Linked DNA regions of Sus scrofa. The main gene of each other region encodes a partner of the protein of the gene in region 6 in a complex. Links are inferred from orthologs where the notes say so. Each region holds a gene or a part of one and is shown on either strand. Other genes may lie near its edges. The genes, in order: STRAP, GEMIN5, SART1, SNRPF, CWC15, SNRPG and DHX16.

Region 1 (4,089 bases), on a different chromosome or scaffold from region 6:
AGCCAGCAGCGGTAACGTGAGATCCTTTAACCCACTGTCAGGGACCTGGGACCAAACCCTACCTCTGCGGCAACCTGAGCCCTGCAGTTGGATTCTTAACCCAACTGTGCCACAGCAGGAACTCCTTAAAACTTAAATTTATTTTTTAAAAACTTACATATAGTAAAACTCACTCTGTGGTACAGAGGTCTAGAGTTTCAACAAATGCACAGTCAGGTATCCACTATCTCAATCAATCTGCCTTCATTTTTTATAATAAACTTGGTATGTTTAATTTGCTTACAACAAAGGAGAAACACATTTAGAATCGCTTCTTAATGTGAAATTCTATTAAAAAAAAAATCAACAAGACAATTTTACTCTCCAGACTTTCAAATCTAATAAGGAGTATTCCACGTACAACAGCCCTTGACTTGCCTGCCTTAAACACTTTATTGTTTACTAAGTCACAATCAGGAACTAGAGGTACCAAGATTACATAAGCTGTGACCCATGCCCAGATAGGGAAAGTGGGTCATCGCAAGTCACTTTAATATCATATACAAAAGCAAAAAAAATCAGAGTAGGTAAGGCATATTCTGGCAACAGTTAGATTTAGTATAGCCAAATGATGGGGCATATGATGTGTAGTGCCAGATGATGCCCAAGAACTAGGATTAGGCCAAATTTTAAAGAGCTAACAATGAAATTTAACCTTTAGGCTAGTGGTTAAGGTTGTACATCAGAATCATCCAGAAAAACTTTAGGGAAGAAAAAAAACTAAAAAACAAAAAAACCTAGGTTGGGAACTCCAACTCCAGACCAATTAAGCCAGAGCTTCTCAGACACATGCATCTGAGTACTTTAAAAGCTTCCCAGGTTACTGTAATGTACACCCAAGGTCATGGGCCACTGACAAAGCAGAAGCAAAGATCTTTAGGTAAAGAAGTGTTATGTTATTTGTCTCCAGGAAGACAACTGGCTGATGAAGAGATGGGAAAGGACCAGTTTAGGAACCTAAACCATTAAGGTAGTGGCAGAGGTACAAGAAACAATGTGGTCAGGAAACATTCTATTGGCAGAATCAACAAATATGATAATCTAGATGGAAGAGAAAAATCAAGAATGATTTAGAAACTTAGAAAATGAAAAATAACTGAGTTTGGGAATCTTAAATATGTCTAACAAAAATGAGAGTGAAACTGGGCTAAAAATGTGGGGCATCAAGCACTAAGAAGTTAAGGAGTATAAGGTATTATTCAGCTAGAACATGTGGAGCAGTATTTGCCAGCATGACCATCAACATTCATTATCTGAAGTGCTTGTTAATAATGCAGATTCCTGGGTCCCAGTCCAGACATACAGAACTAAGTCATTTAAGTCTCTGAACATTTTGAGAAAGCAGCAGATAAAATATGGGCGGAATTTTGGTGACATCAAAACAACATGTGTTCTCTACGTTAGGCAGTGCATGAGAACTTTATGAATAACTTTTACTGAACTTTTATTATTGATCATTTCAGAACACAATTCACAGAGAACTGTAAAGGTGGCCATTTCTGGCTACACTTACGCTGTGAAATCTGCAGCTGCTGTAGCTGCTTTGGTGGCATCCTTATTCAATGTTGCACCCCAAACAGCACCCTTATGACCCAAAAACGTTCCAATCCAGTCTCCTGTATCTCCCTGGCGTAGCATAGGTTTGCCATCTAAAAAATATGTAAGAAAACATGTGATGTAGAAGCTCAAATTACTTAAAATCTAGGATCCGAACTTAAAACAAACAGTGATGAATAACAAACTTGAAAACTGCTTTTGTTGTCTAACTGTTCACTCACTGGGGTCACTAAGGCACATCCAGAAATAAATTAACTGAAGAACTGGGCCATTCTCTCTGGGAAGGACTTGAAATGCGGCAGAAAGACTATTCATCTGCAACAAAACAATCTAGACGTGAACCTTATTTTGGACAAACTTAATAGTCTCAGCTTCCACTTGAAAATTGGAAATGAAAAATTCCATACCACAGAAGAATATCCAATGAAATAGTAGAAGTGGAAAGTCTTTGTAAAATAAAGTGTTACTTAGCCTGGCCTAGTTTCTGCATTCCCCAAATCCTTTAAAGATATTTACGGTGTTGGCCGGGGCGTCTGGGCAAGTGCACAGTAAAGCTTATCCAGAAATAGCAAAAAAGGTAAAATGAGAAGCCTTGGTTGGGGGCATAACTTACCAAAGCTTCTCCTGGCATCAGCTGCGCAATCCTTAACACTACTCGCCCTACCAGCCCACTAATCTCAAAAGCCGCAATCCATTCGGCAATGGGAAGTGCCGGCCCCACTCCCTTTCCGCCCAGTCCCAACCATCTGAGCCCAGCGGCCCTGCTCACCTTTGCAAGCACTGATTAAGAAATAGCCATAAGGCGTGATGCCACTGAAGGCCAAATCCACCACAGGCCGCGTGTGGCCGGAGCAAGTGAGAGGCGTTTGCCTCATTGCCATGGCGGCGGCGAGCCGAGCGATCCCGCAGGAGAGCTGAGGGTCGTCTCGTCTTTTCTCTTCTCCGCGGCAGCGCCTCTCACTCAAGGCCTACGCCCTGACGCTGGGCCGGGAAACAGAAAAAGGCCAATCTGGTGGCCCCGAAACCAGGAAAGGGTTAGGGGTGGGTCAGGGAGTGTGCGACTGGCGGTCGACCGCCGCCGAGGGAGGGAAAGGGAGGGAGGGAGGAGAGTAGGGGAGGGGGAGAACAGGAAAACCGGCAGCCACGATCCCCACCGTCCACACCGGTACTCGCAGGAAGTGACGACACTAACCCTCCGCCGGAAGTGACGAACAGGAGGGAAGGCGGGTTCGCTGGGTAGAAGAGGCGTACTGGAGCGAGAGCGACCGCAATGCGCAGGCGCGAGATCAGCTCAGGTTGAGCACGTGATGCTGGCTCCACGCTGGCTACGCAGGGCTCTTGGCCGCGTTCCAGGCACTGGGTGAAAATCCTAGCGCTGAGCTCTAAGCAGCTTGGGGTGCTTTTCTGTTTTTGAGCCGTTTGGAGTCGAGTTGGGGGCGTGCGGAAGCGGGTCCTGCTTCAGTCATACCCCGAATCTGACCGCATCTGTGGTTTACGCACTGAGCCGTCCAGTGGTTTGGACTGTGCTATCTAGACGTCTACACTGAACAACCAGAATTGTTTCCAGCGGTGGCCCAAACCAGCAAACACCGTCTAAGAATTTTTTTTCCAATCTTTGTTAGCAGTTGTATAGTCAGCTCCTCTGGGATTGTCTACAAGTAAGGCCCTTAAGAAAAGTCTTTCTCCCAGTCACCCCTTGTGCTGTGTAACCTTGCATTGTTAGTGTTTCAGACGTGAGGGTTATGCGACTCTAAAAACAGTTAAATTAGTTTATCTTTTGAGGACGTTGGGAGACCCATGAGCAATGGTCCTCAAATTTTTTGATGAATACCCACATCAATAAAACTTGCGTCCGTCCCCCAAATATGCGATAGTGAATAATTTGTGAGTTATTTGCATATTAGTGCATAGAGAAGAATAGAAATATTAGAAGAACCTTAAACTTCAGTGTAAATAGAAATACTGGTGTTGTCTTCCTGCAGGCTCTCCTCTTTGGATATCACTCCGTGGTGTAGCAGAACTGTTGATGGATTGATTGCTCATGCAAAAACTGACCTGAGCAAGAAGGGTCCTTTTTCTGGGCAAGTTATTTCTTTCCTTTAATGCTTGTTAGGATGTCAACAGAAAATACCAGAGATTTTTTTTGTGGTCTCTTTCACTACTTTATCCCAGGCCATAATGTCTTGGCACATACCAATACATATCTAATCAGCACAAATGTCTGCAAATGTTTCCCTCTCCCTCATCTTTTTGTAGTAAACATGTATCTTCGTTCAAGTCTAATTACTTGAATGGAGACTTGAAGTGCTTCCCCATTCTATTTCATTAGCATTTTGTTCATTAATTTATAGTACAGCACTTACTATATATGTTTTCCACTATCTTTTTTGTTTTCTCTGTGCCAACCTCACCCCAAGTTCCTACACACATGCACACACACACTCTGTTGACATTTAAATTGTGAGCTCCTTAGTGGCAATTGTGTGGCACTGT
Region 2 (3,977 bases), on a different chromosome or scaffold from region 6:
TGTACAGCACAGGAAATATAGCCAATATTTTATAATACTTTTGAATGGAATCATTACAAATTGTGAATCGTTGTACACCTGAAATTAATATAATATTGAAAATATTTGATAAATAAATGAAAACAAGAGTTCCCGTCAGGGCGCAGCGTAAAGGAATCTGGTTTGTTCCCTGGCCTCGCTCAGTAGGTTAAGGATCCGGCGTTGCTGTGGCTATGGCCTAGGCCAGTGACTACAGCTCCGATTCAACCCCTATCCTGGGAACCTCCATATGCCGCGGGTGTGACCCTAAAAAGCAAAAATAATAATAGTAGTAAAATAAATAATTGAAAATAAAGAACAAGCAGTTCAAATACAAAGTATGATGCTCCAGGTTCACCTCCAAGAGCTAAGAGTTAATAATCGTCAGGCACTTGCTGCCAAATATGGCCAGTAGGCATTTGACTAAATCTCATGTATTCCCCACAGCAATCCAACAAGGCCTGGATTATCATCTTCCTTCTTCAAATGAGAAACAGGTTTAGGATAGGTTAAAGTCTCAGACAACTGGAAAAAAGAGGTCAATCTAGGGTTGGATGCCTCCAAAGTTATGGTCGTACCCACATCCAAATATATTTGACCTCCCTTTATTTGCAGAGATATCTCAAATTTTATTTGCTGGGTATGCCGGAGTTCAAGATACCCAATGCAAACATGCAATAGGGAGTAGAAGAGTGTAAGTACAGAATCTGAGCATTTTAGGATGTTTGAGCTGGAAGGGAACTTCCGTTCTTTTTCCTCCACAGCACTTAACATATAGTCCCTTCACAGAGTTGACGGGTAATCAGATCAAAAGAGTCACTATTCTGCTTTTACTTGAGTATCAAAAACCCAGAGACAGAATTTTCACCCAGTTGCGGAAACCCTTTAAAAAAAATATTTGATGGGATAGGGGTTGAATAGGTCCAGGGAAAAAAGCGTTCTAACCTCTTAATTGCTGTGAGAAGTGAAAAATGCCTAACCCCTGGGCTGGGCTCCAGCCGCCCTAGACGCTCCAGCCGCAGGCGAGGTTCCGCGGCGGAGCGCCGCGCTCTGGACCCCGCCCTTCCCAGCCCAGCGACACCAGTAGCCGAGCCAGCGGTGCGGCCTGGACCTCCGCGCGCGCCGTAGCGGCGGGCCCGAAGGGGCGGGGCTCCGAGTCAACCCCGCCCCTTCCTGGCTACAGCGTGGGGCTACGAAAGGTCTGCGCAAGTAGTTGCTTCCCTCATCCCTGGGTGGCAGTGATCATGGCTCAGGAACCGCGCACGCTGCCGCCCTCCCCTAACTGGTACTGCTCCCGATGCAGCGATGCCGTGCCCGGGGGCCTCTTCGGCTTCGCGGCACGGACCTCCGTCTTCCTTGTCCGCGTGGGCCCAGGCGCGGACGCGATACCAGGGACGCCCCCATTTCGAGGTAATTCCCCACCTCTTGGCCCCAGCCCTCTTGCCCTTCCTGAGTTCCCTGCAGGCTCCGAGTGGGCATTTCTAGCCACCCCCATCTCTTTAGATGAGGAAACTGAGGCTCGGGAAGGAGAAGGGTCTCCTTACGGCCAACTAAGCTGACTCGCGTCCCAGTCTACAAGGCTGAGCTATACACCACGCTGTGGCCGAGCGGTCCCGCCTCCTGGCGCTCTCACGTGGATCCTCTGCTTACTGAAAAGTTAACCCTGTCTCTTTTCAGATATTTAGAACATCTAGGCCTTCCTCCCCAACCCAGTGCGTGCGGGCCCCCTGAGAGCTCCTTGGGGTTGAGGGCTGCCTAATAGCTGCACGCCTTAAGGGAGATCTTGCAAATTTATGATACTAATTTCTGTAAGATGAAGGACTTGAGCCGGATGCTTTCAGGCTCCAACCCAGGTTTTGCTTATGCCTTAGGATATGGGATGCCAGATATTTATTCTGTTCCAAACGATGTCTGGCTAGATCTAGATAAGAATCTCTTTTACTTGCTTCCACTGAGCTGCTCCTCAGTCTGAGAACTGGGCATATCAAGGGATATGAACAGCATTTTATAGATTTGAGAAGACTGAGGCCCAAGGAGATAAAAAAGACATGTCTAAACCCAGGTAAAGGCAGTACCAGCACTTGGGGTCTCTAATTGTGAGTTCTTCCATGGGCTAAGTGAAGTCTCAATCACCACTTAACAGTAAGATTCTGCCAAGGAAGCTTAGGTAGCACTTTAACCTGGAATCTGATTTTGCTTGAAGTCATAGGGGAGTTGGTGGGACACACCGAAAGGGTCTCTGGCTTCACATTTTGTCATCACCTGGGTCAATACAACCTCTGTGCCACCAGCTCTGACGATGGGACTGTGAAAATCTGGGATGTAGAGACAAAAACAGTTGTGACCGAACATGCACTCCATCAGGTACCGTGGCTTACTAGTTTCTCAGGCCATTATTATATATCTGCCAGAGTTCTCTTGCTTCAAGTATAGTTTTGCTAGCTTATCTGTGCAAGTAATTGTTTTCGTTCATTAGATAAGCTCTATATGGTAAGATACTTAAAAACTTTTCTGGAAGGAGGTGAATATAAATAAGAGGTCAGCAAACTGCACTGCTGCCTCCTTTTCCAAACTGTTTTACTGGAATATAATCACAGTTGTTCATTTAAGTACCTTCTACAATTTTAAGTATTGGCTGCTTGCATGCGACAATGGCAGAGTTAAGTACTTGCAACAGAGACAGTACGGCCCACACAGTCTAAAATATTTACTCTCTGGTTCTTTACGTGAAAATGACTCCCAATATAAACTATAAGTGAATGAAACTTGTTTCCAAACTAGGTGATTAATTGTATATCTGCTTTTTGAGAGAATGTAGGAAAGGAAAGAACTCCTTTTTAGTAAGAACTTTGCATTAATCTATAAAAGGAAAAAAAAAAATGTAAATGGTCCTTTGATCCCCAGTAGCCTAAATTCTCCTATCATTTGGTTATGATGTAGTCTTGCTATACAAGTGGAACTCACAGTATATATTAAGTACCTGTCATGTGCCTAGCATTGTACAGGTTAAAAACTAAAAATTTAGCATTGACAAATAAGAAGCAAATAATTTTTGTTTTGTTTTAAAGCATACAATATCAGCATTGCATTGGTCTCCTCGAGTAAAGGATTTAATAGTATCTGGAGATGAAAAGGGAGTAGTTTTCTGTTACTGGCTTAACAGAAATGACAGCCAGCACCTGTTTATAGAACCCAGGACAATTTTCTGTCTTACTTGCTCACCTCATCATGAAGATTTAGTAGCCATTGGGTAAGTACTGTGCTGCCATCTGTGTGGATGGTTTAGTTTTGTTGATGATCTTATTTCACATTGCTTTACCTTCTCCTGTCCCTTCATTCCTTAGAGGAAACCATCTACAGGTAGTCACTCTCCCTAGGTCCCTGGTATCCCTCTAGGTCCTCAGTCTCTCTCATTCTATTTTTGTTTCCTTGGTTTCCATGATACTGTACTTCCCTCATTCTCCATAACCCATTTCTTCAGTCAGCCTCCAAATGTCAGAAATGTCCTCTTTCACCTTTTTTTCCCTCCATGTTTACCCTTGGACATAAAATAACATTTACCTCCAGAGTGTCAAATGACTAAGCTCTGGCATTGGGATCTGTTTCCCCAGTGACCAGCAGAGTTGTTTACACAGCTGCCTGAGTGGGCACTCCCCGTTCCCTCACCACTCCATTTACTTCTCTCCCAAAGCTGTCCTTTCTCTAGTTTGAAGACTAGTCATGAGCACTAGAATGTAGGAGAGAAAGTCCAGCTGCAGTGAATTCAAGAGACTGGGAGGTGAGGTGGATATGCATGGAGACAACTTTTTCACAAAGTTTTTTGTGAAAATGTGCATAGACATGAAGCCAGAGGAGTTATATGGAGGTCAGGGCAGTGTTATATGGAGGTCAGGGCAGTGTTATATGGAAGATAATAAAGGCATGGTTTTTATGCTGATGGAAATGAGGCAGAAAAGGGG
Region 3 (3,961 bases), on a different chromosome or scaffold from region 6:
GTCCCAAACCGAGGGCCTGACCCAGCGCTCAGAAGAGCACTGGCCTCTGCATTAGGCGGAAGGCCTGGCCTGCCCCTACCCAGGAAAATGCCATCCTTCCTCTTGGGTCTGAGTGTCCACTTCTGTAATGCAAATCGTTGGCTAAGATGGTTTCTATGGCACTTCCAAATCCCAAGCAGAAGGCTCTACGATGAGAAAGCTTCACCCACCTGCTGCCCCCAAAGCTGCCCGTCTCAGAAGAAGACACAGTAGCATAAAGGTGACAGTACTCACTTGGTCTCCTCGATGCTGAGTGACGAGGCATCGCCCGAGCTAGTCTTGGAGCTGGCAGCTGGAACAAGAGAGAGAGAGGCTCAGGAGCTGAACACGGGGCCCAGAAGCCACTTCCTTGGCTCCAGCCGCAGGGCTGAAGGTGAGGGTCCCCCATCTGCCCCGAGACATCAGGGAACAGCAGCCTTCCTCCATCCCAGGGGCTCCTCCTACCTGACTCCCAGGCTGTCGACACACCTTCTGATCCAAAAGGTCCAACCTGCCACATCCTTCACTCTGCCACCTCTCCACCTCTGTGTATTCTGTTGTTACAACCTACACGGCCCTCTCTGGCCTCACTCTGATTAGCAAGATGCTATCCAAACGCAACAATCAGAGGCCGGAGTCCTGATTCCTGATCAGCACCAACTCCTCTCCCCTGCACTCCACAGCACGGTCACGGCCATCTCCAGGTCTGTTTTTGCTCACAGGGCAGGGCCCATGTTGGCAGCATATCTGTGTTCTCTCTGTGTAATTCACACAGTCAAAAAATACACTTACTGGCGCCTGTGCTGTGAGGATGCTACAGGAAATAAAGCAGCGCTTCTGAGCTCTTTCACCCACCTCATAAACAGCAAATGTCACACACAGAATGCCACACACAGAAGCTGGACGCCATCGGCTGGAGCTCCTCCCTCCAGCATGGCCACCTCGCAACCTACGTCTTTCCCTCCCACCCCACCTGGACCCTGACTCCCAAGCACCTCCGTGCTCGCTCCAAGGTCGCCAGCCTCCTTGTCTGTAAATCCGATGGATTCTCTGCCACTCTGGTTTTGCCTCATCTCCTGTGGTGTGTGACACCACTGATCACGCCCACAGATCCCATGACATGAGATGCTATGGTATTCTTGCTTTGGGGAACATCCAACCTCCTTTTTTGTACCATCTTGCTCCGCCTGCTACTAAAACGTAGACATTCCTGAGGTTCTGCCCCCGACCCTGGCTTCTCAATCCTCACTCTCTCAAGGGACTTCATTTGCCATTGAACCCTTATGACTCTCAAACTGCTCTGTCCTGCCCAAGCCCTGAGTTTCCCCATGTGCCTCATGCAACACTCCTCAAAACTGAATTCACTGTCTCTCTCCAAAAAATCTGCTTCTCTTCCAAACTCAACTTCCGTCGACAACACTACCACCCACCTGGTCACACCAGCCAAAATCCAAGGACCATCCTCAATTCCTTCTTCTCCTTCCCACTGTCATCCAAGTGCTTAAGCTCTGTCACCTCCTCCTCCAAAACACCTCTCCAATGGGTCAACGACTCTCCATCCCGCTGCTGCTGCCCTGGTGCCAGCCATGGCCAGTCCTTACCTCCTCTATGGGTCTTGACTGCTCTTTACCCAGTTCTCAACACAGTGTTCTCTGTGATAACGTGAATACGACTAACTCGCTCCCCAGCTCGAATTCATGGCTCCCTATTACTTTTGAAACAAAGTTCAAAATTTTTTGTTTTTTGTTTTCTCAGGGCCACACCCTGGCATATGGAGGTTCCCAGGCTAAGGGTCGAATTGGAGCTACAGCTGCCGGCCTACACCACCGCCACAGCCACGCCAGATCCGAGTTGCACCTGTGACCTACACCACAGCTCAAGACAGTGCAGGATCCTTAACCCACTGAGCCAGGCCAGGGGTCGAACCCACAACCTCATGGTTCCTAGTCGGATTCGTTTCCGCTGCGCCAGGACGGGAACGCCAACAAAATTCAATTATCTTAACAGGCTTGCAGGAGCCTCTGTGTTCGGACCCCTGCCTCATGTCTCTGCTATGAGCTCTACATAACCTGCCCAATACCAGGTGTCCTCCTGCCTCTACACACGATGGTACCACTCCATGCGTTCACTCGACACATTTAGCGAGTGCCTGTGATGTGTCAGTTAAGGAAAACAGAGAAAATCTCCACCTTCACGGAGTTTAGCAGAGAAAGCCAACCCTTAATCCCAAATAATCAAAACAAGACCCTTCCAAATGCGCTGACGACGGGCCTGGGGATGGCTGGGCCTGTGGGCTTGGCTTCCATCCCCGAGGCCCTCCACCCTGAGACCCTCCCCATCGCCCCGCCCCCTGCCCAGGCCCCGCCCCTCACCGGCCTCGTAGCCTTCATCTCGCTTCTCCCGCTTCACGCGGCGCTCGGAGGGCTCTGTCTGGCTACGCTCCCGCCCGTGCGTGCTGCTGCGGGCCTCCGCTTCGGCCCCGCGCCGCCCGCTCCCGCGCTCGCTCCCACGCTCCCGGCTCCGCTTTCGTCGTTCGCCACCGCTGCTGCCGCCGCCGCTGCTCCGGTGCTTGTGTTTTTTGTGCTCCCGGTGCCGAGGCGGCTGCTCGGTGGCGCTCCCGGTGCTCGCTCCTGCCGTAGTCCCGGCCGCCTCCTTCTCCCCGCGGTGCTTCTTTGACGACCCCATGGTGGTAGGTCCACCCGAGCCCCGCCGCCGCCGCCGCCGCCGCCACCGCCGCCGCCGAGCCCCGACGGCGCAAAATGGGAACACTTCCGGGTCGGGCCCGGCTGCGCCGTCGCGTTGCCGGAAACCAAGAGCGGCTGCTTCCGTCCTTTGCCTCGGAGCTGCCCCAAAGGCTCATGGGAAGGCTGGGATCGGGCCCGACTGCGCATTCGCGGCCGGCACTGGCCGAGCGGCGGTCTTTGACATAGTGGTCGGATTGCGCGTGCGCTCAAGCTTGAGGGGCGCGTTCGAGTCCGGGGAAGACCGTATCCCAGAATTTGAAGGACCTAGGGCCCATCTAAGCCAGCATGGCCTCCCTGGCTTCCCTCCGCTTGCACACCCTCAGCCACGGGATGCTCACTGCAGCGCCCGCCGCTCCAGCAGAAGTCCTCCTAGTAGACTCCCTGGGGTCGTGGCCGATCAGGTGTAGGAGGACGGAGCACGTTCTGCTCCTGAGACCCTCAGCTCCACAACCCAGCCTCCTCCCAGCCCCCACAACTAATATTGTCTGCAAACGCTGCCTTCCCACGGTCCCTGAATTGGGTTTTTTTAACGTGCGCTTTGACTGCTACGGAGCTCGAGATGGGCCTTTGCATGCCTGTGAACCCCTGAAATCGAACGCAAAATTTAGCACATCGGGGTGTGTGTGTGTGTGTGTGTGTGTGTGTGTGTGTGTGTGTGTGTGTGTGAGAGAGAGAGAGAGAGAGCGCGCTCGCGGGAGCTGCTGCTGCTTTTTTTTTTTCCCTCTTGAGAGGAGCTCTAACTTGAAGTTGCTTGAAGCTAAAATCTCAGTTTACACAGGAATTCTCCTATGGCGCAGCGAGTTAAAGATCTAAAGATCCGGGACTGTCACTGGAGCGACTTGGGTCACTCCTGTGGCTTGGGTTCAATTCCTGACCCAGGAACTCTCGCATGCCACAGGCACAGCCAAATAAACAACAACAACAAAAACTCTGTTCACACAATCTCTCCATCCCTCCTGACACCCCTCACCTCCCAGTTGCCCCATCTGGAGGCCCATCTGTCTGTGATTATGCTCCCCTTTAAAGTTCCGCTTTCCTCCCCCCCAGAACTGGGAGTTCCCAAAGGCAGAAGCCATTCTGTCCTATTCACTCTTGACTTTCTAGGACCCAGCATTTCTAGGGCAAGTTGCCGCTGTTGCTCTTGGAGATGCCATGCTCACACCTCAGGAGCAGAGGCAGAGCTGTGCACAGGGAGGGGG
Region 4 (4,004 bases), on a different chromosome or scaffold from region 6:
CTCCACAATACCGCAACATTTAAATCTCAATTTTTTCTTCTTTCTTCTTATTTGTCTTTTTGTCTTTTCAAGGGCCGCTGCCGTAGCATATGGAGGTTCCCAGGCTAGGGGTCTAATCCGAGCTATTGCTACCGGCCTACACCACAGCCACAGCAATGTAGGATCGCAGCCGGATTGTGACCTACACCACAGCTCACGGCAACGCCGGACCCTTAACCTCCTTAACCCGCTGAGCAAGGCCAGGGATAGAACCCGCAACCTCATGGTTCCTAGTCGGATTTGTTAACCACTGAGCCACGACGGGAACTCCATAAATTTCAATTTCAAATTCAACTCCTTAGGGCTGCAAAAACAAAAAACAAAAAAGAAAAAAAAATTTTTTTAAAAGAATGTATATATGTGTATGATTGTGTCATTTTGCTGTACAACAGAAACTGGCACAATGTTGTAATTCAGCTATACTGAATTTATATGCAATTTATTTATAATATATATTACATGTATATAAATTTATATCCAAAATGTTTTAGATATATATATATTTGAAAAAAATAAATCCAGTATGAGGACTGTAGTGGGCCTCTGCTCGCAAAGCACAAGAAACAGGTGGACCGGGAGGCCACCACACCGTATTTTAGTCTCTGTCTGACCTCATCTGAAAAATATTCTGCAGTTGACTTTCTTCCGGTGCGTTTCACCTCCTTAAGTCTATCTAGTCTTGCTTCTTCCACTTCCTCTGAGATGGGGTGAAATGAGCACTACAGAATAGAGAGCCATCAGGTAGAACGGGACTGTGGCAGAGGAGTCCCCATGGCTCAGGATCTGTGGGAAAATGAAGAAGAAACTTGAGAGCCCCGAGCTCGTTTTCCCAGGTGTGCAAAGCCAAAGGAAACTCCACCAGCCAAGTTGGCGAGAAATCACGTCCATTCTGCAGGACAGACAGCAAACCCTCGAGGCAGGCGAGCAAACAGGCAACTCGAGCCACCTCTCTGCCTTTGCAGTGCCGCAGGTATCAGACCCATGCTGCTGAAGGTTTCCTATTTCCTGCCCCCGCCGGGAAGGCGCTCGGAAACTCGAGCCTGCTGGTTGCCAGGAGACAGGCCCCAGTCACTTCCGCCAATCAGCACGCATCTTTTTGCATCCAATCACAGAAGCCGGAAGAGCCGTAGTCGGAGGGGAAAGGTCACGCTGCTATTTGGCGGCCATTTCTCTGGAAGCTTGGTGGCTGGGAAGTTGCTGTAGCCAACTCCAGTCCACGAGGGCCGGACGGCGCTGAGTCGGCGGCGGGTAGTCTGCAGCATCTGCCCACTACAGCAGCAGTAGTCGCGATGGTAAGGAGAAAGAGAAGGTCAGAGTCGCCCGTGTGGGGGAGAGAGAGAGAGAGAGAGGGCGGGAGGGCGGGTGACCAGCTTCGCCGGGCCTTCGCGCGTTTCCCATTCATCCGCGTGAGGCCCCGCGCAGCCTGTGGCCAGCCCCTTTCTGCCAGTTCTGGGTGTCTGACGCACGCCCTCCTTCCCCTCCCTAGGAATGTCCCCTTCCCCCTCTTCTTCGTTTGAATCTGAGCCTGAGCTGCTCTTGCTGCCTGGGACCACAGAGTTGGAGTAAAGATGAAGCGGTTTTTCACGTACAGCTTACAGCACTCCAAAATCCGCTTTTGTCTGGTGATGCTGGGAAGCCCTGCAGCCCTTTGGAATACTGAGCCCGAGCTTTGAGCATTCATTTGTTCTCTTAGCAAATTTTTACTGAGCTCCTGCTACCTGTCAGGTGTGTTCTAGGAACTAGGACTATAGGGCGAGAAGTACTGGTGTGGCCCCTGCTCCAGTTTAAGTCGGTGTGAGAGAGAGAGAGACATTGATCAAATAACGACAAATACATAATTTCAAATAAAGTTAGTGCTAAGGAGGAAGCACACAGGATGCTATGAGGGGGTACCATGCTACGTTAGAAGTGTTTAAGGATGGCATCTTTGGGAGAAGGGATTTAACCTGAAACTTAAACGATATGAAATACACACCCTTAAAGAGGCGGAAGAGTGTATACACCAAGCTCAGGAAACATGAGCATAGACTCTGAGCCTCGAAAGAAAGCCTGACCAGTTGGAGGAATTGAGAGAAAGCCACAGCTGCTTGCTAGGATGGAGTGTTGGGCAAGTATTAGGCAGTTTTAGGAGGTCTGAGTTCTACTCCCGGGTCTACTTTGGAAAGCCATCAAAACATTTTAGGTAGAGATATGATGTGATAAAAAATACTTGCCGTGTGGCTAATAAATTGGAGAAAGAAAAGAGTGAAGACCATAGAACTATTTGAGATCACTCTGAGTATGCTTATCCTAGAGGGGTTTAGTAGCCAAGTTTCTTGGTTCTTTTCTCTCTTTGGGTGGATGGGCCAACAGATGAAGGAAGGGGGAAAAGTCTGAATTCGTTGGAGATACTGTTGCATTTGCTGAATAAACAAACATTAAGTGATTGATTGCCTATATGTAGGAGTCACTGCTAAGTCAAATAAGATCCAGGCCTACCTTTTCATAGTGAGAGACTCAATTATGATCTGCCCCTGCCTCTTCAGTAACTTCATACAAAACTAACTTTTATGTCCCTGAGATCACCTTGCCGAGTCATTCTTCCCTCCTTTTGCATAGGTAGCCTCCTCTGCCTAGAATAGCCTCTTTCCCTCTGGAAATATCTGTCATCCTTTAAAACAGGCATTTACTTACTTCAGGCAACTCTTCCATTTCTCTTAACACTGGATTGTTTGGTATCATGTAATAGCATTCTCCTCTTACTACATTACAAAGTAATTGCCCACTCGTGTATGTTTTGACCCTTCCCTCCCACTGTAGGTCTCTTAAGGACAGGGACTGTCATCTGCCTTTTTTTTTTTTTTTCTTTTTTTTCTATTGCCTTTTCCTTGGTTTCATTATATTTTTGGAACAGTGAGTGAATGTTTCTTAAGTGAACATTGAATAAGTCTTGATGGGGTTGATGAAATTGACTGGCTGGATATTTCTTTGAAGTTCTTCCACAAATAAAAGTGAAAATTATGTAATAACGTGAGATGGAGTCAAGAGTTTGCTTCATTTGGATACCACAGCATATTGGTAATTTGGCAGAAAAGAGTAGGTAATAGAAACCAAGCTAAAGAAACTTATTCAGTTGGGTTCTTTTTTTGTTTTTGTTTTGCAGAGTTTGCCTCTCAATCCCAAACCTTTCCTCAATGGGTTAACAGGGAAGCCAGTGATGGTGAAACTTAAGTGGGGAATGGAGTACAAAGGCTACCTGGTGTCTGTAGATGGCTATATGAATATGCAGGTAAGTGGAAGAGTTATGAAGATCATTAGATTGTATTTATTTTTCTTCATGTGACTTCTCAAAGGTTTGGTGTGACTTACAGGGATATAATTAATTGACAAACAAAGCAAAATTAAGGGGTCAAATCAAGGCTAAGGAGGATGTTATAATTTGATGAACTTTGTATGAGACATATTAAAAATTCAGCCACAGGAGTTCCCCGTCGTGGCGCAGTGGTTAACGGGCCCGACTAGAAACCATGAGGTTGCGGGTTCGGTCCCTGCCCTTGCTCAGTGGGTTAAGGATCGGGCGTTGCCGTGAGCTGTGGTGTAGGTTGCAGACGCGGCTCAGATCCCGCGTTGCTGTGGCTCTGGCGTAGGCCGGTGGCTGTGGCTCCGATTCAACCCCTAGCCTGGGAACCTCCATATGCCGCGGGAGCGGCCCAAGAAATAGCAACAACAACAACAACAACAAAAAGACAAAAGACAAAAAAAAAAAAAAAATTCAGCCACAGATTTGATTCCCAGGTGGTTAAAAGTAAGAAGAGCTCAGGCGTTTGATTCACAATGTCATAAGAAAAATATACTGATTTGTGGGGAAAGCAAAACATCCCAGCACTTGGTCCGAGAGAACCTTTTCCAGTGAAATTCGTGTCTTTTGATAAATGCTAAATGTACAAATCTAAGTAATTTGATAGAAGCAGTTCTTAAGAGAGAAG
Region 5 (4,000 bases), on a different chromosome or scaffold from region 6:
AGCGATCGAATTGGAACTACAGCTGCTGGCCTACACCACAGCCACAGCAATGGGAATCTGAGCCACACAGGGGATCTGAGCCACATCTGCGACCTACACAGGATCCTTAACCTACTCAGCAAGGCTAGGGATGAACCAGCATCCTCATGACACTGGGTTTTGAACCAGCCGAGCCACAATAGTTAACTCCATGGAGAATTTCATAGACAGAAACAATGGGGCCTCAAAAAGTCTGGCTGTGAAAATACCTTAATCCGAACTGAAACAATGGTTGCTAAATATTCCCAGATCACCTAGTTCTTTCCATATAGAAACATAAAAAGATGGAACTGGAATCAAATTCATTACCATCTCTAATCTAATCTAATCTAATCCAATCTAATCTATCCTAACCTAATCTGATCCAGTCTTTTAAGAAACTTAAAGTTCACACCAATATTTAAAAGCAAGCAAACAAAAACAGTAATCCATTCTAATTACCACGTGAAAGAAAAATTACTGTCAACACAATGTCATGAGAGACGTGTCCAGGGTGTAGGGTAGTCTAGGGGTCTAGGGAGTGTTGGTACCTCGGGTCGGCCTATCTCTATTTTTTTCTCTTGCAGCAGCTCTCTCTCTCTCTTCCAACTCTCTCCTGAAGTCGCGGTTCCGAACCTCTTCGGGGGCATCCTGAGTGGTCTGTCTAAAGCAGAAACAAACCAGGGCAAAAATACTTCTTAAAAACACACGGCTGTAGTCATAGAAGACAGCTTGTGAAAAGCAACTTTGTCCTGAGTTCCTGAAACATAAAGTCCCATTAGGGAAACTGGACAAGATCACTATCCTAATCTGAGGGTTACTAAGAGGCTCCTGTGATGTCTCTGATATTTCAAGAACCTCAAGCTAAATCACATACTTTCCCATAATAAGGGTGCAGGTTGATTAAAATGTCCTTACTTTTTGTAACTATGTCAACTCAGGGCTCTGTTACAATAATACTCTTAATCTCATATTGATTAGTGCTGATAGTGCACGTCCCTCTGAGATAATGTATCAGCTATTGCTCCATCTACTTATGGAAATTCCCAGTTAATTGCAATTTCTGCTTAAGGAATATCTTGTAGCATTTTACAATCATAGCGCATGATTTTAGTGTTATAAACACTAATGCATTCTACTCCTATGAAAATAGATTACTAAGTGATAATAACGTAAACACTATTATCTTATGACCATACCATTTAACAGATTTGGTCTTCCTTTGTGAAACAAAAAAAAAAATAAAAGGCTTCATTACCTATATTTTATCTTCGTATGAGAGGGTAGGTCTCTACTTGAATATTGCTTGGAGAGTTGGCTCAAATCACCTTCTCCTTTTCCTCTCCCACCTCTTGCAGGTTCAAAAGTTGGCCTAGCTGCCGTCGTCATTTTTTATGCTTTGAAGAAAAAGTGCCAAGTTACTTTCAACATAACAAACTATCATTTTATAAAGTATTAATCAATATCCATCCTTGGGAAAAAATTTCCCTAACTTATTCCCCAAAACTTATTTAAAATGATCTCAAAAGTTCTCATGAAAACAAACAGTGAAGCTCAGGGTGTAGCGGGAATATGCAGATATTTAGTACAAAAAGTTCTGTCATGAAGATCTGAGACTGTGTTCCTGTTCTCCTTCTGGCTCTGTGGCCTTGGACAAGCCAACTAGCTTAAGTTTCCGTCATCTGTAAAATGGGGACTATTCCTCATGGGATTATCATGAAATTAAGAGACTTGACATGTCAAAGCCCTTGCAAAAATACAGTACTGCCGTGTCTCAGTTTTTAAAAAAATCTCAACTCAACCTTACTCCACCAGACTCCTTAAGGTTCCCATTTTATCTAAACCTCACACTGCAGAAAAGAGGCTAGCAGCTACAAAAACAGAGAAGATATCTAAAAAAACAAATCATTGACAGATACTGAAGGTCCTGAAGAAGTGTGCTCAACTTCGACGACAGTTACATTGGCAAAGCTCCCCAACAATCTTTTGTTGTTTCAATTTTATCCTACAGCAGCCAATATAATATAAATCATAACTTTTGCAAGTTACAATTTAAGGGATGCTCAAAACACAGGAACCCACCCCCACGGGACTCTGGTAACTACAAATCAGGGACTCCTTCCTTATGTTACTTCTGCTTTTAAGCAACTAAAAAACACTGCACAGCCGATGTGGCTACTAAAACCTCCCTCAAGCGTCGGAAAAGCAAGTGTCTGGGGCAGCTGGCATACTTCTCTAGATTTTCAAAAAAGGGAGAGGAATATATCCAGTGGGGGTGAAACTGGGTTCCGGGCCGCTGGGGGCGCCGCCGCCTCCCACACACCATCGTTATTTACACTCTGGGTTCTGGGGAGTTCACCTTCGGGTTGTCATCGGAAAGCCCGGCGATTCTTCACCCGTGCCAGATTTGGCGAGGGGCTGGGGGCGCCCAGACCCGCTTAACGCAGCCTGTAGAGCTACCTTCACGCTACGCTCTCCGCGGCCGGCCCGGGACTGGCCGTCCCCAGTCCAACAGGCGCTGGGCTCCGCAACCCGCTGCCGCTCCGGAAAACTCCTCTGCCTGCAGTCGGTTCTCCGCGTCCGCCCCCAACTGTCCTCCCCCCCCCCCCCCCCAGTCTGCTTTCCCCCAGCAGCTCACGTTGGCCGAGGTCCGAACGCACCAGCCTCCGGAGATCATTCAGAAACCACTTAGATTCTCGGCTCCCAGAAACCCCTGCGCCCAGGGCCAAAGCCCAAGACCCGGAAGCAAACCCTAACCTCTTCAGGGGCGGAGGCAGGGACCAATCGGCAGAGGCCAAGGGAGAAGTCGGCGTGACGACAGCAAGAGGCGGGGCTTAAACAGCCCAGGGGGCGGGCGTTTGAAATCGGTGCTTTGAGTAGACCCTAAACATCATTTTATACCTTCGAGAACCAATTACTTAATGTCTCTCCCGTCTTTTCCTTTCCCGACCCCCTCCCAGACGCCTTCATTCCGGTACTGCGTGGACGGAAAGCCCCGGGTAGCCGACACCACGTCCCCGGCTACCGAGAGAGAAGGAGAGAGAGCGTAGAAAAGGATTATACCAAACGGTTTAAATCCAACGGCTCCTGCTTGCTTAATCTTTGAGCTAGACCCAGCAAGCCTAGAGAGTTGGGCTACGGAAAGACTAGTATTTTCTTTTAATTGGATATGAAGAAAGAACAAATATGTACGGGGGCAACCACGATCTTTATAAAGGTACCATTCCTGCAAAAAATGTTAGTCTTCAAAGCAAAGGTTGTATTCGTATTGACTGTTAAAATTGTAATTTTTTTTAAAGCCTAAGTTCTAGCGGGAGGGGAGATGTCACTATTAGAGATTCATTCATTAACCGACATTGAACGTTTAGAACGGTGGGCCCAACTGCCAGGAGCCCTAGATGCAATTATAAGATGGCTACTCATGCGTTAGGTGAAGTTTTAATAAGGCAACGAACAGGAAAGGGAAAAAAATCACCAATTGTCCTTCTTACACCTCCAAAAGCACTGTGGGAGCAGGGATCTTGTTTGGTCAGTTTAACGTGGTTATCGTGATATCTAATCACATAGTCTTTGGCTCAATAGATACTTAAACAAATGAAAATCCAACTCCCTTAGCTTAGTTTCAAATGTAAAGAGCTCATTAAAATTGAACATAAAAAAGCTTTTTCCCCCCCTCAGAATTCTTTCTTTGAACTCTAAAATGAACAAAACAAAAGGGTAGAAAAACTCCCTTCCCTGTAAATTTCAAGATGCAAGTCTTGATTTTTCTAGGAAGGTATTACTCCCCCAGTCTTAGACATCTCAGTAAAGGACACTACCTACCATCATACTAGTTACTTGAACCCAAATCCCAGGGTTTCCTCTTAGATTCCTTTTCCTTCACTTGTCTCATCCAACTTATTTGCAAGTCTTACCAATTCTACTTTCAAAATATACCCTAAATTTCATTCCCACTGCTACTACCCTAGTCCAAGCCACCATC
Region 6 (3,965 bases):
GATGCTAGTCAGGGTCTAAACCCACTGAGCCACTATAGGAACTCCCCGACCCAATATTCAATGACAGAATCTTACGACCAAAACAGAAAAACAAAGATTTTGTTATATTTTGGTTATTTTAAAAACCAAACAAAGTTGTGAAGAAATCAGAAGGTAATCAAACCATATCCAATCCAATGGATATTTTATTTTATATTTGAGACAATACATAGTGTTTTATTTAATATTAAGCAACAATCTTAAATGTTCAGGATATTCTCCAACACCCAAGTATACTTTAGCAAAATAAATGCATATTGAAATTTTAAATAATTTGAATTAAGCAACAAAATTCCATATCAGCAGGGTAGTATGAGAATATGAAGCCAAGGGCGTTCCCGTCATGGCTCAGCAGAAGTGAATCTAACGAGTATCCATGAGGATGCAGGTTGGACCCTGACCTCACTCAGTGGTTAAGGATCTGGCATTGCCATGAGTTGTGGTGTAGCTCACAGACACAGCTCCGATCTGGTGTGGCTGTGGTTTAGGCCAGGGGCTACAGCTACAGCTCCCATTCGACCCCCCACCTGTGAACCTCCATATGCCGTGCGTGCAGCCCTAAAGACAAAAAGAATATGAAGCCAACAAGTCAAACCAGTTTTTACCTCTTTGCTGTAGGCTAGAAAATATGAAACTTCATTCAATTTTAATGTATATCATGGAGAATTCAAAGATAAATAAGACATGAGGCCTGAAGAAGGTGTAAGAAGACAGGTTTTTACAAATAAAAATATATAGTATGACATGTAAAACAATCAATTTTACTAGGATGTTATAAAAAAACACAAATATAACACATATGAACTTATTTTATTTAATCCTTATGAAAGCTTTTTAAGTTATGCATTGTTATTACCACCAATTAACAGATGGGGAACCAAGGCCCAGAAAGGTTAAGTAAAATTTCCAAAGTCACTCAGCAGTGAAAAAGTTTGAGCAAAATCAAATGGTTCAGTTTGGCCCAAGAACATGGTACTCAAATATTAGCGTGTGTAATATTTGGTGCTTGGATTTCAAATGGAGGAGCGTTACTGCTGGTTCAAGAAGTCTGGACTTTATTATGCAGATGGCAATAAGTTACTGCAGCAGTATCAGGCATGGCTAAGATTACTGAAGCATGTGTAAATCAATCCATTACGCTGTACATCTTGAACTTACGTAGTGCTGTAGGTCAATTTTATCTCAAAAAAACTGGGGGAAAAAAAAGACTACTTTGGCAATGATTTTTAAGAGGGGTAGGAAGAATATGATTGGGCCAGGGTATCTCAACCTTGGCATACTGACATCTGGGACCAGATAATTCTGTTGTTGAGTGATGTCCAGTGCACTGTAGAATATTTAGCAGGAACCCTGGCCTCTACCTACTAAATGCTGGTAGAACCAGACTCTCTACACCACAGTTAAGAACCACAGAATTATATTAAAAGCAGACGGAAGATATAAAAATGCAAAAAAAAAAAAAGATTTCGGGCCTCGTGGGTGGCATGCGGAAGTTCCTGGGCTAGGGACTGAACTTGAACCACAGCAGTGCCATGTTGGATCCTTAACCGGCTGAGCCACGAGGGAACTCCAAAAAAAGATGGTAAGGAAGAAAAAGTTAAAAGTCATTTTGGAGGTAGACCTGGCAGGATCTCACAATTATTGAAATCTACATATAAGAAAAGAAAGGTAATTAAAAACTCTCATTAATATCTTAAGAATCAAAAAGGAAATCTTACCAAGAACACCCCCCCAACAAAAGAGCCTTCTCTAATTAGAGAAAAATGAATGTTCTCACGCATTCCAGTTAACAGAGCAAAATATCACACATTCAAGTTCAACCTAAGTGCAAGAAATTAAGAAAAAAGAACGGGATTTCTTTTTTTTTTTTTGTCTTTTTGCTATTTCTTTGGGCCGCTCCCGCGGCATATGGAGGTTCCCAGGCTAGGGGCTGAATCGGAGCTGTAGCCACTGGCCTACACCAGAGCCACAGAAACGCGGGATCCGAGCCGAGTCTGCAACCTACACCACAGCTCACGGCAACGCCGGATCCTTAACCCACTGAGCAAGGGCAGGGACCGAACCCGCCACCTCATGGTTTCTAATCGGATTCGTTAACCACTGCGCCACGACGGGAACTCCCAAGAACGGGATTTCTAAGTTAAAGCTCAAAGGAACCACCAACACACTAAGATGAAGGCAGCTTTTGAATTTCTCATATACCATCAAAACAATTCCATTCCATCCACCTCCTTAGTTCCTTACAGAATTACTGTCCAACCACCTTATCTCGAACGTGATGCTACTCAAGGCGTTCAGCTAACTGTGGTATTCAAGATCTTTAAGTAACGAAGGATCGAGTGCCAGAGACCCGGCCAGGAACTCCGGCCTGGGAGGCAAACCTGCAGACGGAGGGGCCTTTACGTCTTTGAAAAGCATGCCCACCAGGCCGAAATACAACATTTGCGCGGGATGCAGGCCCGGAAACGTGGGACGGTGGCCCGGATCGCGGCGGCAGCCAGTGGCAATAAGCACGGCAGACACACTCTCCGGAAATGGCTGGGGATCCAAGGAACTCAAGGCCTACAAAGAAGCCGCCATTTATGCGCGGCCCTCATGCATACTTACTTCTTCAACTCCGGCGGGTGAGCTTTGCTCATGATGCCTACTCCGCGAACTCAAAGAAACCTCCAAACGGAATTCGTGTTCTCCCTCACGCTCCAGCGGTAGGCCCGGTGCTTTGCGTCTGACGTCACTGATCCCGTTAGCCAATTGATTGTTGGCCGCTTTCACGTTTCACGTCGCGATACTTAGGAAAATCCTGAGCTCGCAGATCAGTCCCAAGCTTCCGTTGTGTCGCCAGGGATTGGCTAGAGCGGAGGGGTGGGGCCTCCAGTCTTTATATTCCTCTTTGTAATTGGGTTGCTGTTCCTGCCTCTAGCATTTGAAGGACGCTGGTTAACTCATTGTCTTTGTGGGTTGCAAAGTTGTCTTGACGCTACCAGATGAAAATAAGCTCTGGAGGGGTAGGCTCCTAAAAATTTCTTTGGCATGTGTGTGCATACTTCCATGTGTTGTTCTTCCCTTTGTTGTCCTCTGCAAACACTGCGGTTTTTTTTTTTTTGGTCTTTTTAGGACCGAACCCTCCGCATATGGAAGTTCCCAGGCTGTGGGTCAAATCTGCGCTGCAGCTGCTGGCTTTTGCCATAGACAAAGCAACGCTGGATTCTTAACCTACTGAGCGAGGCCAGGAATCAAACTAGTATCCTCATGGATACTAGTCCGGTTCTTAACTCCCTGAGCCACATCGGGAACTCGTTTTTTTTTTTTTTTTAATTTAGCAAATTGAAGGTTTGAGGCAGCCCAGAGTCCAGCAAATCTCCCAGCGCCATTTTCCCAAGAGCATTTGTTCACTTTGTGTCTGTGTCATTTTGATAATTCTTACAGTATTTCAAATTTTTTCATTACTGTATTCGTTATGGTGATCTATGATAGGTAATCACACTAAGAAAAAAAAAATCTTGTGACTTGCTTTGAGGTATTTGCTTCACTGTTGAACCTGTGGTATTTTAGTATTCCCACAGGATGTCATGCTACAACTAAGGTTCTAGTAACAGCTCAGTTAACGACCTCTGCACCAAAGGAATAGAGTGAGGGGGCCTCAGTTTCCAAAAATTTTAATCTAGAGGAGTTCCCGTCGTGGCGCAGTGGTTAACGAATCCGACTAGGAACCGTGAGGTTGCGGGTTCGGTCCCTGCCCCTGCTCAGTGGGTTAACGATCCGGCGTTGCCGTGAGCTGTGGTGTAGGTTGCAGACATGGCTCGGATCCCGCGTTGCTGTGGCTCTGGCGTAGGCCGGTGGCAACAGCTCCGATTCGACCCCTAGCCTGGGAACCTCCATATGCCGCGGGAGCGGCCCAAAGAAATAGCAAAAAGACAAAAAAAAAA
Region 7 (4,098 bases), on a different chromosome or scaffold from region 6:
AGCCGGAAGACGCCACTGGAGGCAGCTCCTGTCTTCCGAAAGGTCACTTTCTGCAATCACACCAAACCTCAGACGCAACTTCCTGGGGATTTATGGAACGTGCTGCTCCTACAAACCTTCTTGTCTGAGCGCTCCAGGACGTTGCGAGTTCGATCCTTGTCCCGCTGCCTAACCCGCTCCGCAAACGCATCCCGTTCCTCCAGGTCCTGAAGGCGCTCTCGCTCTGTCCGCTCCCACTCATCCTCCGACTCTGGCTTCTCCGTCTGTGGTTTATTCCCCCTGCAACCCAGCCCAGAGGATTAGTTAAGGGCATCCCGAGGCCTGCTGTCGCATTATCCACCCGCCCCATCCTCTCACCCCCCACTTTTGGTCTTTTTAGGGCCACCGCACCCATGGCACATGGAAGTTACCAAGCTAAGGGTCCTACACCACGGCATGGCAACTCGGGATCCAAGCCACGTCTGTGACCTACACCACAGCTCACAGCAATGCCAGATCCTCAACCCGCTGATTGAGGCCAGAGATCGAACCCGTGTCTTCATGGATACTAGTCGGGTTGGTTACCACTGAACAAGAATAGGAACTCCTCTCTCACCCTACTTCTGACTTACCCTGTAGTCTTCTTTCCTTTCTCAGGAACTTCTTCCTCCTCTTCTTCCTCCTCTTCCTCCTGACGTTTCTTCCTGAGGTGTTTCCGTTTTTTCCGCTTCTTCTGGAGACTGCTCCCAGCCCTGCCTACAGCCTCCTCACTGCTCTCCTCACTGTCCTCCAGCAACCTGTAGGATCGGTTCTTTTCCAGCAAGGCTCGGGCCTCTCGCTCAGCTGCCCGAGCTGGCTTTTCTGCCACTGCCTTCCGTGGGACCTGTCAGAAGAGGAGAAGACAAGGGGGTGTGGGCAACTCCCGATCCCTGCCTACCTACTCAGCCCTGCTCCTAATTTAAGGAGTAATTTGTTTTTTGTTTTTTTTGGTCTTTTGAGGGCCGCACCTGAGGCATATGGAGGTTCCCAGGCTAGGGGTCCAATCAGAGCTACAGCTGCCGGCCTATACCACAGCCACAGCAACACGGGATCCGAGCCACGTCTATGATCCATACCACAGCTCATGAATCCTTAACCCACTGAGCGAGGTCAGGGTTCGAACCCGCATCCTTGTGGTTGCCAGTCAGAGTCGTTAACCACTGAGCCATGACGGGAACTCCAGGAGTAACTTGATCTTCAACTGGCCTTCATTCTCTCCCTTCCCCAAGACCTTGCACCAGGCCCACCTGCCTGAATGGGACCGCTCAGCTTCTAAACTTCTTTTCAGTAATTCATTTAACAAACATTCATTAAAGCCTGTCCTGTGCACCCACTGCTAGGCATTAGGGATACTGGGATACATTAAGAGAAAAATCCTTATCCTCATGGAGTTTACATTCTCAAACAGTTCTCAACTGTTCTGCCTCCCTTCTTTCCAATGACTAAGTCATTCCCATACAAGGGAGTTCCAGTTGTGGTCAGTGGTTAATGACTCTGACTGGCAACCATGAGGATGCGGGTTCGACCCTGGCCTCGCTCAGCGGGTTAAGGATATGGCGTTGCCTAGAGCTGTGGTGTAGGTTACAGACGTGGCTCAGATCCTGTGCTGCTGTGGCGTAGGCCAGCAGCTGTAGCTACAATTGGATCCCTAGCCTGGGAACCTCCATATGGTGCAGGTGCAGCCCTGAAAAGATGAAAGACAAAAAAAAAAAAAAAAAAAAATGTCATTCCAACACAAGGACTGACAAACTGACAAGGATTGTTTTGCAGAAGCCTGTCACGTGCCTGGCACTGTACCAGACTCCAAGGATACAGTGGTGAACAGATTAACAAAAAGCCCTGACCCTCACATCACAATGTTCTAATTTCATCTCTCACTAAGCACCTTGTAGGACGGATGCATCAGGTTATCTGCCATCCTGTAAACAAGCTCAATACTTTCATTCTTTTTTCTTTTTAGGGGCACACCTGTGGCATGTAAAGTTCCCAGCCGGGCTAGGGTCTAATGGGAGCTATTGCTGCCGGCCTGAACCACAGTCACAGAAAGGGAGGATCTGAGCCGGTGTCTGCTACCTACACAACCCACGGCAACACTGGATCCTTTAACCCACTGAGTGAGGCCAGAGATGGAACCTGTGTCCTATTAGTCGGGTTTGTTACCGCTGAGCCACGACAGGAACTCCCCACACATTTCTTCTATAACCGCACTACTCAAGGTGTGGTCTGTGGACCATCAGCATCACCTGGAAACTTGTTAGATTTCGAAATGAAGAAACGAAGAATCCTTTCCAGACCTACTGAATTAGAAGCAGCATTTTAACAAAAGCTCTAGAGGAATCCTACACCTGTTAAAAGTTTGAGAACACTGCTCTATACCGCTTAACCCAACGTACTTAAGCCGTCCTCAACCCGCAGGCGATAACGGACAAAGGATAAACGCCTGTTAACTGAGTTAACTTAATTCTCCAAACGCGCGTCCAGCCCAGCCTCACTGGGACAAACAACCTGGGGACCCCTTCCCTGCTCCACCCCCTCTCCTATTTCTCCCACGCCGGGGCCCCGCCCCTCTAGGCACCTTGTTCCAGAGTTTCAGGGCGAAGTCCCGGGCTGGCCCGCTGAGGTCCAGGGTATCAGTGTCTCGCAGGCGCTGCACAAACTCTTCCGCAGAGGCGCAGCGCTGTGCGGTACCGATCAGGAACTGGGCCACGTGCCGCTCGCTCAGCCCCAGCACCGAGTGCAGCTCGTCCTGCACCCAGCGCTCCAGCCCAGCCGGCGTCGCCATGGCGACCTATGCTCCTTATTCCTGGCCCTGAAAGTATCTCCAGCAGCCACGCTGGCGACCGGGCGGGTCGGAGGCCTGGAGCCCCGGGCTGGAACCTCTCCTCCCCAAAGAAGCTGCCTTAGCACTTCGGGGTTCGGTTGCTGACAGTCCAAAGCAATCTTCCCGGACCCCGGAGGCCGGAAGTGGTCCACTTTTCCGGCCTAAGCACTACGGTGGCTGAACGGGCCCAAATCTCGCGGAAGTGTACGGGATAAAAGTTTCATTTCCTCCCTTAGTTAATCTCTCTGCCTCCCCCACCACGTTGGTGATTTGTAGGTATTTCATTCAGCAAATGCTAAGATCCTAATATGCGTTAGGTACAGTTTCAGTCCCCGGGGATATAGCAAAAATCAATCCGAAACGAATCCCGTGATGAATTTACAGAGGCTGCGGGGGAGGGGGAAATTTACATGTAAATTAAACATGTAGGAGTTCCCGTGGTGGCGCAGTGGTTAACGAATCCGACTAGGAACCATGAGGTTGCGGGTTCGGTCCCTGCCCTTGCTCAGTGGGTTAACGATCCGGCGTTGCCGTGAGCTGTGGTGTAGGTTGCAGACGCGGCTCGGATCCCGTGTTGTTGTGGCTCTGACGTAGGCCGGTGGCTACAGCTCCAATTCGACCCCTAGCCTGGGAACCTCCATATGCCGCGGGAGCGGCCCAAGAAATAGCAAAAAGACAAAAAAATAAAAAAATAAAATAAACATGTAAATTCTATGAAACCAAAAATAACGCAAGGTTTGTGAGTGTGTGTTTGCGGGAGGGCGGTGAAGTCCATTTCAAATTAGAAGATCGGTCCACTTATTACAGATTCGCCCGTGCTGATTAGGAGTGACCTTTGCTAGGACTGATACTTTCTGCAGAAATGAATATAGGTTAAGCATAAGGCAGGACTCTAGGTAGGAAGAAATTTGGGATCTGAAGGAAAAAACTCAGTGCCTTCTCAGAAAGTTATTTTAGAAGATCTCCAAACTAATGCACAAAATGTATTTTGCTTTTTTTTTCTTTCCTGACAGCTTGAGAGATTGATCAGTGGCTACTTAATTTTTTTTGGCCACGCCCAAGGCATTTGGAAGTTCCCTGTGCCTGGATCTAACCTGCTGCACAGCAGTACAAGGCCAGATCCTCACCCGCTCGAATCAGGGAACTCCACCGTCTGCTTAACTTCATTTTTCATCGATTTTTAGGTCCATACTCGCGGCATATGGAGGTTCCCAGGCTAGGGGTCAATCGGAGCCACAGCTGCCGGCCTGCACCACATC

What was found.
Region 1: SNRPG (region 6) and STRAP share a complex: the UniProt entries of both Homo sapiens proteins name them as parts of the SMN-Sm complex. The link is inferred for Sus scrofa from reciprocal best matches to the Homo sapiens genes SNRPG and STRAP.
Region 2: SNRPG (region 6) and GEMIN5 share a complex: the UniProt entries of both Homo sapiens proteins name them as parts of the SMN-Sm complex. The link is inferred for Sus scrofa from reciprocal best matches to the Homo sapiens genes SNRPG and GEMIN5.
Region 3: SNRPG (region 6) and SART1 share a complex: the UniProt entries of both Homo sapiens proteins name them as parts of the U4/U6-U5 tri-snRNP complex. The link is inferred for Sus scrofa from reciprocal best matches to the Homo sapiens genes SNRPG and SART1.
Region 4: SNRPG (region 6) and SNRPF share a complex: the UniProt entries of both Homo sapiens proteins name them as parts of the U7 snRNP complex. The link is inferred for Sus scrofa from reciprocal best matches to the Homo sapiens genes SNRPG and SNRPF.
Region 5: SNRPG (region 6) and CWC15 share a complex: the UniProt entries of both Homo sapiens proteins name them as parts of the minor spliceosome. The link is inferred for Sus scrofa from reciprocal best matches to the Homo sapiens genes SNRPG and CWC15.
Region 7: SNRPG (region 6) and DHX16 share a complex: the UniProt entries of both Homo sapiens proteins name them as parts of the minor spliceosome. The link is inferred for Sus scrofa from reciprocal best matches to the Homo sapiens genes SNRPG and DHX16.

What each region holds. Positions count from the first base shown.
Region 1 is NC_010447.5:56,734,090-56,738,178, forward strand, and holds the start of STRAP (serine-threonine kinase receptor-associated protein), read right to left. Parts: upstream 2,801-4,089; 5' UTR 2,478-2,800; coding exon 2,366-2,477; intron 1,689-2,365; coding exon 1,553-1,688; intron 1-1,552. UniProt on the Homo sapiens protein: The SMN complex catalyzes the assembly of small nuclear ribonucleoproteins (snRNPs), the building blocks of the spliceosome, and thereby plays an important role in the splicing of cellular pre-mRNAs.
Region 2 is NC_010458.4:68,278,044-68,282,020, forward strand, and holds the start of GEMIN5 (gem-associated protein 5), read left to right. Parts: upstream 1-1,177; 5' UTR 1,178-1,262; coding exon 1,263-1,428; intron 1,429-2,221; coding exon 2,222-2,382; intron 2,383-3,086; coding exon 3,087-3,268; intron 3,269-3,977. UniProt on the Homo sapiens protein: The SMN complex catalyzes the assembly of small nuclear ribonucleoproteins (snRNPs), the building blocks of the spliceosome, and thereby plays an important role in the splicing of cellular pre-mRNAs.
Region 3 is NC_010444.4:6,370,543-6,374,503, forward strand, and holds the start of SART1 (U4/U6.U5 tri-snRNP-associated protein 1), read right to left. Parts: upstream 2,801-3,961; 5' UTR 2,704-2,800; coding exon 2,391-2,703; intron 332-2,390; coding exon 274-331; intron 1-273. UniProt on the Homo sapiens protein: Plays a role in mRNA splicing as a component of the U4/U6-U5 tri-snRNP, one of the building blocks of the spliceosome. May also bind to DNA.
Region 4 is NC_010447.5:87,620,064-87,624,067, reverse strand, and holds the start of SNRPF (small nuclear ribonucleoprotein F), read left to right. Parts: upstream 1-1,204; 5' UTR 1,205-1,328; coding exon 1,329-1,331; intron 1,332-3,181; coding exon 3,182-3,307; intron 3,308-4,004. UniProt on the Homo sapiens protein: Plays a role in pre-mRNA splicing as a core component of the spliceosomal U1, U2, U4 and U5 small nuclear ribonucleoproteins (snRNPs), the building blocks of the spliceosome.
Region 5 is NC_010451.4:27,044,481-27,048,480, forward strand, and holds the start of CWC15 (spliceosome-associated protein CWC15 homolog), read right to left. Parts: upstream 2,801-4,000; 5' UTR 2,657-2,800; intron 2,626-2,656; exon of another isoform or gene 2,378-2,625; intron 1,416-2,377; 5' UTR 1,408-1,415; coding exon 1,277-1,407; intron 683-1,276; coding exon 570-682; intron 1-569. UniProt on the Homo sapiens protein: Involved in pre-mRNA splicing as component of the spliceosome. Component of the PRP19-CDC5L complex that forms an integral part of the spliceosome and is required for activating pre-mRNA splicing.
Region 6 is NC_010445.4:72,197,557-72,201,521, reverse strand, and holds the start of SNRPG (small nuclear ribonucleoprotein G), read right to left. Parts: upstream 2,801-3,965; 5' UTR 2,679-2,800; coding exon 2,647-2,678; intron 1-2,646. UniProt on the Homo sapiens protein: Plays a role in pre-mRNA splicing as a core component of the spliceosomal U1, U2, U4 and U5 small nuclear ribonucleoproteins (snRNPs), the building blocks of the spliceosome.
Region 7 is NC_010449.5:23,205,074-23,209,171, forward strand, and holds the start of DHX16 (putative pre-mRNA-splicing factor ATP-dependent RNA helicase DHX16), read right to left. Parts: upstream 2,801-4,098; coding exon 2,594-2,800; intron 863-2,593; coding exon 612-862; intron 280-611; coding exon 117-279; intron 1-116. UniProt on the Homo sapiens protein: Required for pre-mRNA splicing as a component of the spliceosome. Contributes to pre-mRNA splicing after spliceosome formation and prior to the first transesterification reaction.